Linked DNA regions of Arabidopsis thaliana. The protein of the gene in region 1 interacts with the protein of each later gene in a pairwise test. Each region holds a gene or a part of one and is shown in the gene's direction. Other genes may lie near its edges. The genes, in order: MBD02 and AT3G04930.

What was found.
Region 2: the proteins of MBD02 (region 1) and AT3G04930 interact in binary tests that used the Arabidopsis thaliana proteins (3 or more experiments, as listed by UniProt).

Annotation. Positions count from the first base shown.
Region 1 is NC_003076.8:13,522,889-13,527,746, reverse strand, and holds MBD02 (methyl-CPG-binding domain protein 02), read left to right. Parts: upstream 1-1,948; 5' UTR 1,949-2,126; exon of another isoform or gene 2,127-2,471; 5' UTR 2,472-2,476; coding exon 2,477-2,922; intron 2,923-3,027; coding exon 3,028-3,081; intron 3,082-3,499; coding exon 3,500-3,657; intron 3,658-3,861; coding exon 3,862-4,022; 3' UTR 4,023-4,344; downstream 4,345-4,858. Other genes in the region: AT5G35320 (DBH-like monooxygenase), read right to left, coding at 4,603-4,858. UniProt on the Arabidopsis thaliana protein: Probable transcriptional regulator.
Region 2 is NC_003074.8:1,360,960-1,365,584, forward strand, and holds AT3G04930 (DNA-binding storekeeper protein-related transcriptional regulator), read left to right. Parts: upstream 1-1,537; 5' UTR 1,538-2,069; coding exon 2,070-3,440; 3' UTR 3,441-3,660; coding exon of another isoform or gene 3,661-3,692; 3' UTR 3,693-3,840; downstream 3,841-4,625. Other genes in the region: AT3G04920 (Ribosomal protein S24e family protein), read left to right, coding at 30-101, 401-442, 536-706, 904-990, 1,077-1,106.

The DNA of each region.
Region 1 (4,858 bases):
TCTAGAAGGACGAGACCTCCTGCAGCAAGGACTTCGAATCCTTATAGAAGATGGCAAACAGACAAACATATGGACTGATTCATGGCTTCCAACACACCCACCAAGACCACCTCAAAAACGTGATGCGACGGTCACCAATCATACACAAGTCAAGCACCTAATGCAAGATGGCAGAAACATGTGGAATAAAGAAGTAATAGAAGAACTCTTTGAAGCAGATGAAGCACGATTGATACAAGGTTAAGATTAAGATCACAACCGTCCCCTGATGTACTAGGCTGGAACTACACAAAGCATGGGGAATACACATTCAAATCAAGTTATTGGCTCTGTACACATCTACCGAATCAACAACATGATTATGTTCCCCCACCAGGTTTACCCGAGTTTAAGAGAGTAGTATGGAAGCTAGACACGACACCAAAACTAAAGCACTTCATGTGGCGGATAGTAACTCAATCATTGGCGACAGGCGAGGCCTTGACACGACGACATATCATTTCAGATTCACAGTGTAAACGATGTTGTGCAGCTCCTGAAACATTAGAACGCCTATTCTTTGGATGCCATTATGTTCAAGCTATTTGGAGGGGCTCTCCGGTGTCACATACAGCGTTTTTCAATCCACACTTACCTTTTGAAGATAAATTCAGATTAATCCTTCAATGCTGTACTGATACGAGACAAGACCATATCACAAGACAAATACCTTTATGGATGTTGTGGCACATATGGAAGAGCAGGAATTTGTTAGTTTACCAGCGAAAAGGGAGTAATTGGCAAGATGATGTACAAAAAGCGATAACAGACTCATATGAGTGGATTCCTCTGCAGCGAGACACACAACGACGAAGTCTAAATGACAGAAGCGGGCAAGGGTAGCAAAAACCTATTCACGGCTTTATCAAATGCAATTATGACTGCAGTTTCTCAAGGAATGATCTAGCACCAAAGGCTGGTTGGATTTTACGAATTGACACAGGCAGTTATCTACTTGCGGCTCAAGGTACAAGACAACTATGCAACTCAGTGCTAGAAGCGGAACTACAGGCTCTCTTGATGGCAATGCAACATACATGGAGTAGAGGATATCGAAAGATTATATTTGAAGGTGATAATAGGACTGTGGAAAGCTTACTCAATGGGAACACAAGGAATTTTGAACTTCATAACCTCGTCATGGAGATACAACATTGGCGGAAGAAGTTTTCTACTGCCATTATCAAATGGTCTTTCCGGTCAACTAACAAAGCAGCTGATCGATTAGCTAAAGTGGAGTTAGAAAACATTGTTACTTTTGTCTCTCATTCTTATGTACCTCTGTTTCTTGTACAAATCCTCCATAGGATTACACATCATCCCTCTAATAAAGTATATCTGTTAATGTTAAAAAAAAATAAAAAAAAAAGAATCGGTTATTTTCGGGTTTTAAACTTAAAAACCAAAGAAACCAATATCCGAATCGAACCGAACCGTAATAAATTTCGGTTAGTTTCGGAAGAATTTTCAAAAATCCAAAATAACCGAAACCCGAAATAACCGACTCGGTTCGGTTCGGTTTACCCGAAGTCGCAGGCCTAATATTTTATATCAACAATTGACATATATTTTGACCCAAAAAAAAAAAATCAACAATTGACATATATTTGTTTTTATTAAAGTTTAATTTACATATTATGGAAGTCTCAAAATATTTGTTAAACAATGGCAAATATTTGTTAGACATATTTCATCTATTTAGCATGCACAACACGAATCCATATCTAATATTAGAAAGAATTATCCTTTGATTCTTTTTTTCTGAAGGAAATTTTGATTAATGGTAAGATTTGTTTATAAGCCCAAAAGCACAAATATTCTCCTACTTATAGCATGATATATTTTGAAGTGAATGTAAATTAAGAATTATTTTCGTAACAACAAATTTTATATTTATACAAAATAAATTAAATTCAGTTTCTTTCTCTCTTCTCTTTCTCGGTTTCCCCATTTTCTATCTAGACAAAGAGTGTTGTCTGAATTGGCTCTGTCTCAAAAAATGAAATTCTCAAATTAACCACAACGATCTTTAGAGCCTTCTTCGCTCACCGATCTCTGAAACCCTGGTTTGCTCTCGTCCTCTTCGTGTAACGATTCTTCTTCTTGATAAATTTTTAATCTTTGTTTCGGCTTTTCGATGAAATTGTTTTTTTTTTGGATCTCGTCTCTATCAGCTCATGTTCTTCTTTGATTATATGATAATTGTTGTTTCCTTTGCTCTGTTTTATGATTATTGTTGATTTTTGAGATTGAAATGTTCGAGGGTTTCTACTGTTCACTGTTCTTTACACGTATCAATGTTTTCTTGATCATGTTCTCTTATGATGTTAATAGAGAGACTAGTGTTATTGTGATGAATGATTCTTGTTAACTAAATTTGTCATTTTTGTTTTCACTTGACATTCATTTCTCTAACCATTTATTATAGGTAGTTTCTATGAGTATGTCGCAGTCTCGAGCTGTCCAAAGATCGTCTTCACCTAATGAGGATAGAGGTGAGAATCAGTTAGTGGTTTATGACTTGAAAGGAAATGATGATACTGAAGAAGAAGTTCTACCGGTTCAATCTCAGCCTTTGTCATCTAGAACACAGTGTCCCTCTATCGGGGCATTTACGGTTCAGTGTGCAAGTTGTTTCAAATGGAGACTCATGCCTTCAATGCAGAAGTATGAAGAGATTAGGGAACAGCTTCTTGAAAACCCGTTTTTCTGCGATACAGCGCGTGAGTGGAAGCCGGATATTTCTTGTGATGTTCCTGCTGATATCTATCAAGATGGAACTCGTCTTTGGGCTATTGATAAACCGAATATCTCTCGTCCACCCGCTGGCTGGCAACGTTTACTGCGGATTAGAGGTGAAGGAGGTACCAGATTTGCTGATGTGTATGTCGTTCGTTAACTCTTCTCTCATTTATGTTAATATTAGTCTTTCTTCTTTATACCATTGTATTGGCTTTCTTTATCATTCTTTTATCTTGGTTGTTTCAGTTATTATGTTGCTCCGTCTGGAAAGAAGCTTCGATCAACTGTGGAGGTCCAAAAGTTAGTTTCTCTACCACTCCATTTCCACATTTTCGTTTTCACATTTAACAAAGTGTTCCTTACTTTTATGTTTGATGAGGTCTCACTGTATCAGTCTTACCATTTTCGTCAACCAATATATTGAATCAGTAGGAACCTCAAGTATTGTTCTGTGGTCATAACTAGAGTTAGGCACTTATGCAAATTACAGAAATCCTTGCATGTGTTTTGTTTACTAACGAAAATGTACTATGCCAAGAAGTTAGTTAAACTATCATCCTTATTTCCATGATACTTCCCTGCAGCATTTGAGAGTGACAACAATGGTAGGAGAAAAAAGCTTAGTGACTTACCAATTCGTTTAGTGATTACCAAATTGTTTTCAGTGACGTATAGCTAGCTTCTTTACACCCTTATAACCACTATTACTGGTTTGCAGGTACTTGAATGACAACTCCGAATACATTGGAGAAGGGGTGAAACTTTCACAGTTCTCGTTTCAAATCCCGAAACCGCTGCAGGATGACTACGTGAGGAAGCGCCCAGCTCGACTACTGGATTCCATCGATAATACAAACACCCCTGTAGCTAAAGAAGGTGTGTTGCTTATCAAGGCACATAAATATAATTGTGGTTATCTTTTGTATCAAGGCTTTAGATTATTGATGTCATTTTTTCAGTCAAGAGTGTATTTGACGTATACTCGAACCGAACATTGGTGTCTTTAGGGAACTTTATTAACATGAAAACGTCTATGCTTTTACAAGTTTCTAACATTTCGCTTGTCTTGTTATTTTTCAGCTAATCCACTGGCATGGATATCTCCAGATGATCATATATCGTTGCAGCTAGGTACGCCAACCGAGTCTGGACTTAACAATTCACATTACCAACCATCGAAAAAGAAAAAAACATCGACGCTATCAATCTTTGGCTCCAACGACGAACTTGCTGATAGATAATCTAGCTAGACGAGAGTGAACTTATCTCGTCTTCTCTGGTATATAACCCGTCTTCTTTCTTCGTTTTTTGGGTTTGTCTTATCGAAGAAACTGAAAGCATGTGGTTAGCTTGTTTTTTGTGTATACCATCTATTTTGTTTTGCAGTGTAACATACTTTCTATGAAGAAGATGGGTCCTTTTGGTTTTTGCTTCCAAATAACTGGATTTTCATGCTGAAAGTTTTTAAACCTAAAGTTTGATTATTACCAAATTCCATTATCTCACAAATCCACTAGAGGACTGACACAAGAAAGCAGATAAGAATAGATCAGAGTCTGTTTAACTGTAGATGTGCATGTTAAGTTGGAACGTAGTTTATCTCAAAGGATATTTTAACGACATCCAAAAGATAACATTCGAAAGTCAAAACCATCCTAGGGGAGATATGGCTGAAGCTATTAGTTTGGTAAACATACAACAACAAAACTATGCCATATCTCTAATCTGCGCAAAAGGCAGAAACAAAAACTAACAACAAATCTGCCTTCTACTATCCTGCTTCGTGCATTCCCTATTCAGTTTTCCCGTGGTTAAGCCGTATCATCGGAACCAAGTGATGGGAGTGGGAGTAGTACTGACTTGAGGAAGCTGCGGAATCATACAGTTTTGCGCTTGCTGCCACGGATGCAAGCCAAAACCATAGGTGTGCTCTTGCTCTTGCTGCTGTCCTTGCTGAGGGAAAGATAGACTGGTGCTTCCAGTATCCTCTTCTATCTCATTGGATGCATCATCCATTACCACATCCTCACCTGTCTCATCCAACTCAGTAATCTCTAGTGTCCGCGGTTGTTGGAAG
Region 2 (4,625 bases), on another chromosome or scaffold:
TTCACTTTAATCCTTGAGAAGTAGCAAAAATGGCTGAAAAGGCGGTCACCATCCGAACCAGGAAATTCATGACCAACAGACTTCTCTCCAGGAAGCAGTTCGTGAGTTCCATTATTTTTTTTCTCTTCTCTATCTGCATATCATTTTTGTTCTTCTGGGTTTTGTTTTAATGGGAATCTAGTTATAATTTGATATGAACCCAATCTCGAGAGAATGCATTCGTTGTCTCGTCAAATTTTTATAATTGGGGTTTGATGTTTTAGGTCAGGCTTTCAGATTTACGACCTAATGTTAAAGCATAGATAGTGTTTAGATCATATAGTATTGATCTGGCGCAATTTAGTTCCGTTTGAGATTTTGGAATGAAATTCTAAGTTATGGTGGATTGTTGAAAATATAGGTTATTGATGTTCTTCACCCTGGAAGAGCCAATGTTTCAAAGGTTTGTTCTTTACTCACTTTGTTACTTCATCTATTTCGAGTTCTGATAGACTATGAGAGGTTCTAACGGGAGAGTTGGTTTTATTTTTGCAAGGCTGAGCTGAAGGAGAAGCTAGCAAGGATGTACGAGGTCAAGGATCCAAATGCAATCTTCGTATTCAAATTCAGAACCCACTTTGGAGGTGGTAAATCATCCGGGTTTGGTTTGATCTATGATACTGTTGAGAGCGCTAAGAAGTTTGAACCCAAATACAGACTTATCAGGGTAAATGCTTTTTCCACTCTTGTTTCCATTGTTATATATTGCTACTCACATTGACCCGTCTTAAATCATTACTCTTGCTCATTACTGTTTGTCTGAAAATTATAAGCTATGTGATAAGTTTCGGACTTTATATCGTATTGCACTTGGTGTTCTCTGCATCTTTATACTTAAACATGCTTTGTCTATGTGGTTGGCAGAATGGACTTGACACTAAGATTGAGAAGTCAAGGAAACAAATTAAGGAAAGGAAGAACAGGGCGAAGAAAATCCGTGGTGTTAAGAAGGTATGTATACTGGTTTTCCCTCTTGCTATCTTCTGTTTTTGATTGTGACTGTAGCTTTAAGAATCTGTTTTGATCAATGTTTGCAGACAAAGGCTGGTGATGCCAAGAAGAAGTGAGATCCTGAAGAGAGAATCTTTATCTTGTGGGTTCTTGTTCTCCATAATCAATCACCTTTTATGTTATTTGTCCGCTGTTAGATCGTTTCTCCAACTAGACATGTTTACTGAAATCTGAGATTTTCGTTTATTTTTGTTTTGGTCAGTTTATGTTTTGAGTTTAGAGAAACATATGATCCAAGGTTTTTGTTCAATACAACTATTTAATCTCTCTCTCGTCTCTTTCCACCATTCCCATGCGCAGCAGATATAAGCATTTTCTTGTTCCTTAGGTGATTTAATTCTTGATCGGTTACTCGTGCGGCTGTGTTTGATTGTAAACGTGAGTCTCTCTGGCTATTATCGATGTTATTTACCCACATATAATGAAAATTTACTTAGATCATAATTATGAAATCTCGCAAAGTTTCTAATTTATTATATCACTTTTGCTCCTTACTATTTTAATGGAAAAACTGTGATAATTACATGTCAATCACTGAATTTGAACAGTAATTATAATTTTCTATACCGCACAACATATGCTTATTTTGGTTTTGGGTACTGTCTTATTAGTTACATACGGTTTAGGTTGGCTTGTTTGTTTGTTTTGTCCTAGCTAATCACGTTAATGAAAACGCTCTACCAAATAACCGCGTTTAGAAAACGCTATTAGTTACCGAGTGTGGTTGGGACCGAGTGAGGACGTCACGGCTCCAACCAATCCGCAAATAAGGAAGCGCGTGTGTGTAAGTAGTGGGTGACCACTTTGCCTAGTCTTAAACGTTAAGTCTGGAAATACCAAAACTACCCCTGGTTTGGTCGAAGATTCTCACGCCCCTACCACCCAACCCAATCACAATCCTCGTGAACGAACACACCACCTTCTCTCCAATCTGGATCTGGTTCCTCTTCTTCTTGGTCTCTTCTCCATCTCATCGGAGCTGATCTCGAATTGTTCTCCGTTCATTTGTTACGGTGGAGATGACATCGGATCACCGCGACGCTCTTTTCTCTCTGGAACTGGAATCGCCTGATCCGGACGAAGGAGGTGTAGCAGACGGAGGAGAATCTGATACCGACGAGGATTTGCGCGACAACGATGATGTTGTTATGCCGGGAACGAACGAAGCTGAAGCTGAAGACGACGATCCCGAAGAGGAAGATCTCAATTCTCCGTCTACATCATCACTCCCCATGGTTTCTACGATCTCAGCGACTGCTGTTGTTTCCGGGACCCCGACGGCGACTTCCTCTACAGGCGCCGTGACCGTTGCACTTCCGGCTGGATCCGCCGTCCCTGTCTCCGTGATTCCCGTTGATTCCGATCCGAAGTGGCACCGTATGACGGAGATCGTCCATCAGAGACCACCGATCGATGATTCTAGACGCCTTTTCCAGAGGCTGTGGACAGACGAAGACGAGATCGAGCTTCTTCGTGGTTTTCTCGATTACATGACGATGCACCGCGGAAGCAGCTCGCATCCGCCGGATACGGCGCCGTTTTATGAGCAGATAAAGTCGAAACTTCAGCTGGATTTCAACAAGAACCAGCTGGTGGAGAAGCTTCGGAGATTGAAGAAGAAGTACAGGAATGTGATGAGCAAGATCAGCTCTGGTAAAGAGGTATTCTTCAAGAGCCCTCATGATCAGTCTACTTTCGAGATTTCTAGAAAAATCTGGAACCAAACTGGGAAAATCATAGGCTTTGAAGATAACAACGTAATGGATTTCGAAGAAACCAATAACCATCATAACACCACCAATGGTAACTACTCAACCTTTAACAGCCCTAGTTCTAATCCTACTCTGGAGCTCGACTCCGAAAATGGAATCGAGAAGAAATTGACAATGAGTAGCAGTAGCGTGTCGAGAAAACGATCACGATCAAGAATTGGGAAGATTGAGGAAGACAACAAACCTGTCATCACTCCCTCTGATGGGCCAATAGCTAGCAATGTCAACCTCAACGAAGCTGCAGCTGTTGGTATTGGAGGAAATCTCGGGGGTTTGATCGAAGAGACTGTGAAAAACTGTGTCTCTCCTGTGATCAAAGAGATGATGAATGGGACAACAAGTATGATGATGGCTGCAATGGGAGGAGGGTTTCCGGGTCTTGGTGGTGGTGGTGGTGGTGGTGGTGGTCATGGTTTTGGCTCGCTAAGCCCCATGTTTACACGGCCGTTCAATTTCGGTTTTGGTGTAGAGGGAGGAGGAAACAAGGCGGTTGCAGATGAGCGGTGGAGGAAACAACAGATTCTGGAATTGGAAGTGTATTCAAGGAGATTAGAGTTGGTTCAAGAGCAGATTAGAACGACATTGAACGAGTTAAAGACGATGCCGAGTGGTATATGATGAAGGGCGAGAAGAATAAGACAACAAGGAACCATTTAGGTTGATATTTGATATCTTTGAGTTAACCTTCTGGTGTGTGAGTGAGTATAGTAAGAGATTTGGATCTTTTTAAGTTATAAATTGGTAAGGTATTGTGATCTTTCTCTAGGTTTTTTCATCATTTTGATTTTTTTTTCTTCTTCTTATCTTTAAATTATTTGTCAATAGGGATGAATCATAGGAGGGGGGTTTGTGTATAACCTTTTGTATTAGATTATAGTTCTTTTTTCGTAGAATCATTTGTTCAATAACAAACAGACTTTCTAGCTGTTTTTCTTTCAAAAAGAAGAAAAATAATAATTCTAAATTGTGTGCTACTCTTTCTTTGTCTAATAAAATCTGTAATAACATGTTTATTTCTAGATCGGATACTGTTATTGAAGTGTATTAAACTTTGACCTCTTTCTTTATCATGTTGATTAATGTAGTTACTTAAAAACTTTTGTGTTTGAAAAAAAGAACCAATGTTGTGTTTCTTGCTAGTACGCATCAGAAGATTCCTTTCCTGATTAAGTAAAAAAAAAAAGGCATAATCAAAACAATTTAAAGATTCAAGAAGGCAGAAACTTGTCCACGTGACGAGGCAAAGAATGTTAGGTAGGTTTGTTATTGACTTTATAGTTTATACAATGATTTTAACAAAATACCTATGGAAGATACATGATTATTTTTTATAAATGTATAAACGAGTGGATATATTTGGTGGTGGATGATGGTGTGTGTGTATATGCAAATAATTCACTTTATAAAAGCTTATCGCTAATTTGACAGAACACTAGAACAGTTCTCTCTTTTTGTCGACAGTCTTCTTCTTCTTCTTCTTCTTCGATTGGATCTGGAACTGGTAAGCTCTTCTATAAGTCTCTGGTTTTGTATCTTTCGAACTGTTCTTTTGTTTCTCTCTCCAAAAATTTCAAACTTTCATAATTTCGCCTCCTCAAGTTCGATTTCAGCTCAAGAACACGAATGCTTCACTCACTTGTTTCATTGTTAAATCTTATATTTAGTTTGATACTCATGTTTTCTGCTGTTCGATTTTTTTTTTTCTCTGATTTATATTCGAGTTTGAACTTAAATCATGGTTTTGGTTTCACTTTACAATTTTGGATCTCATGCAGTTTCAAAACACTCTTCGATTTATATGAA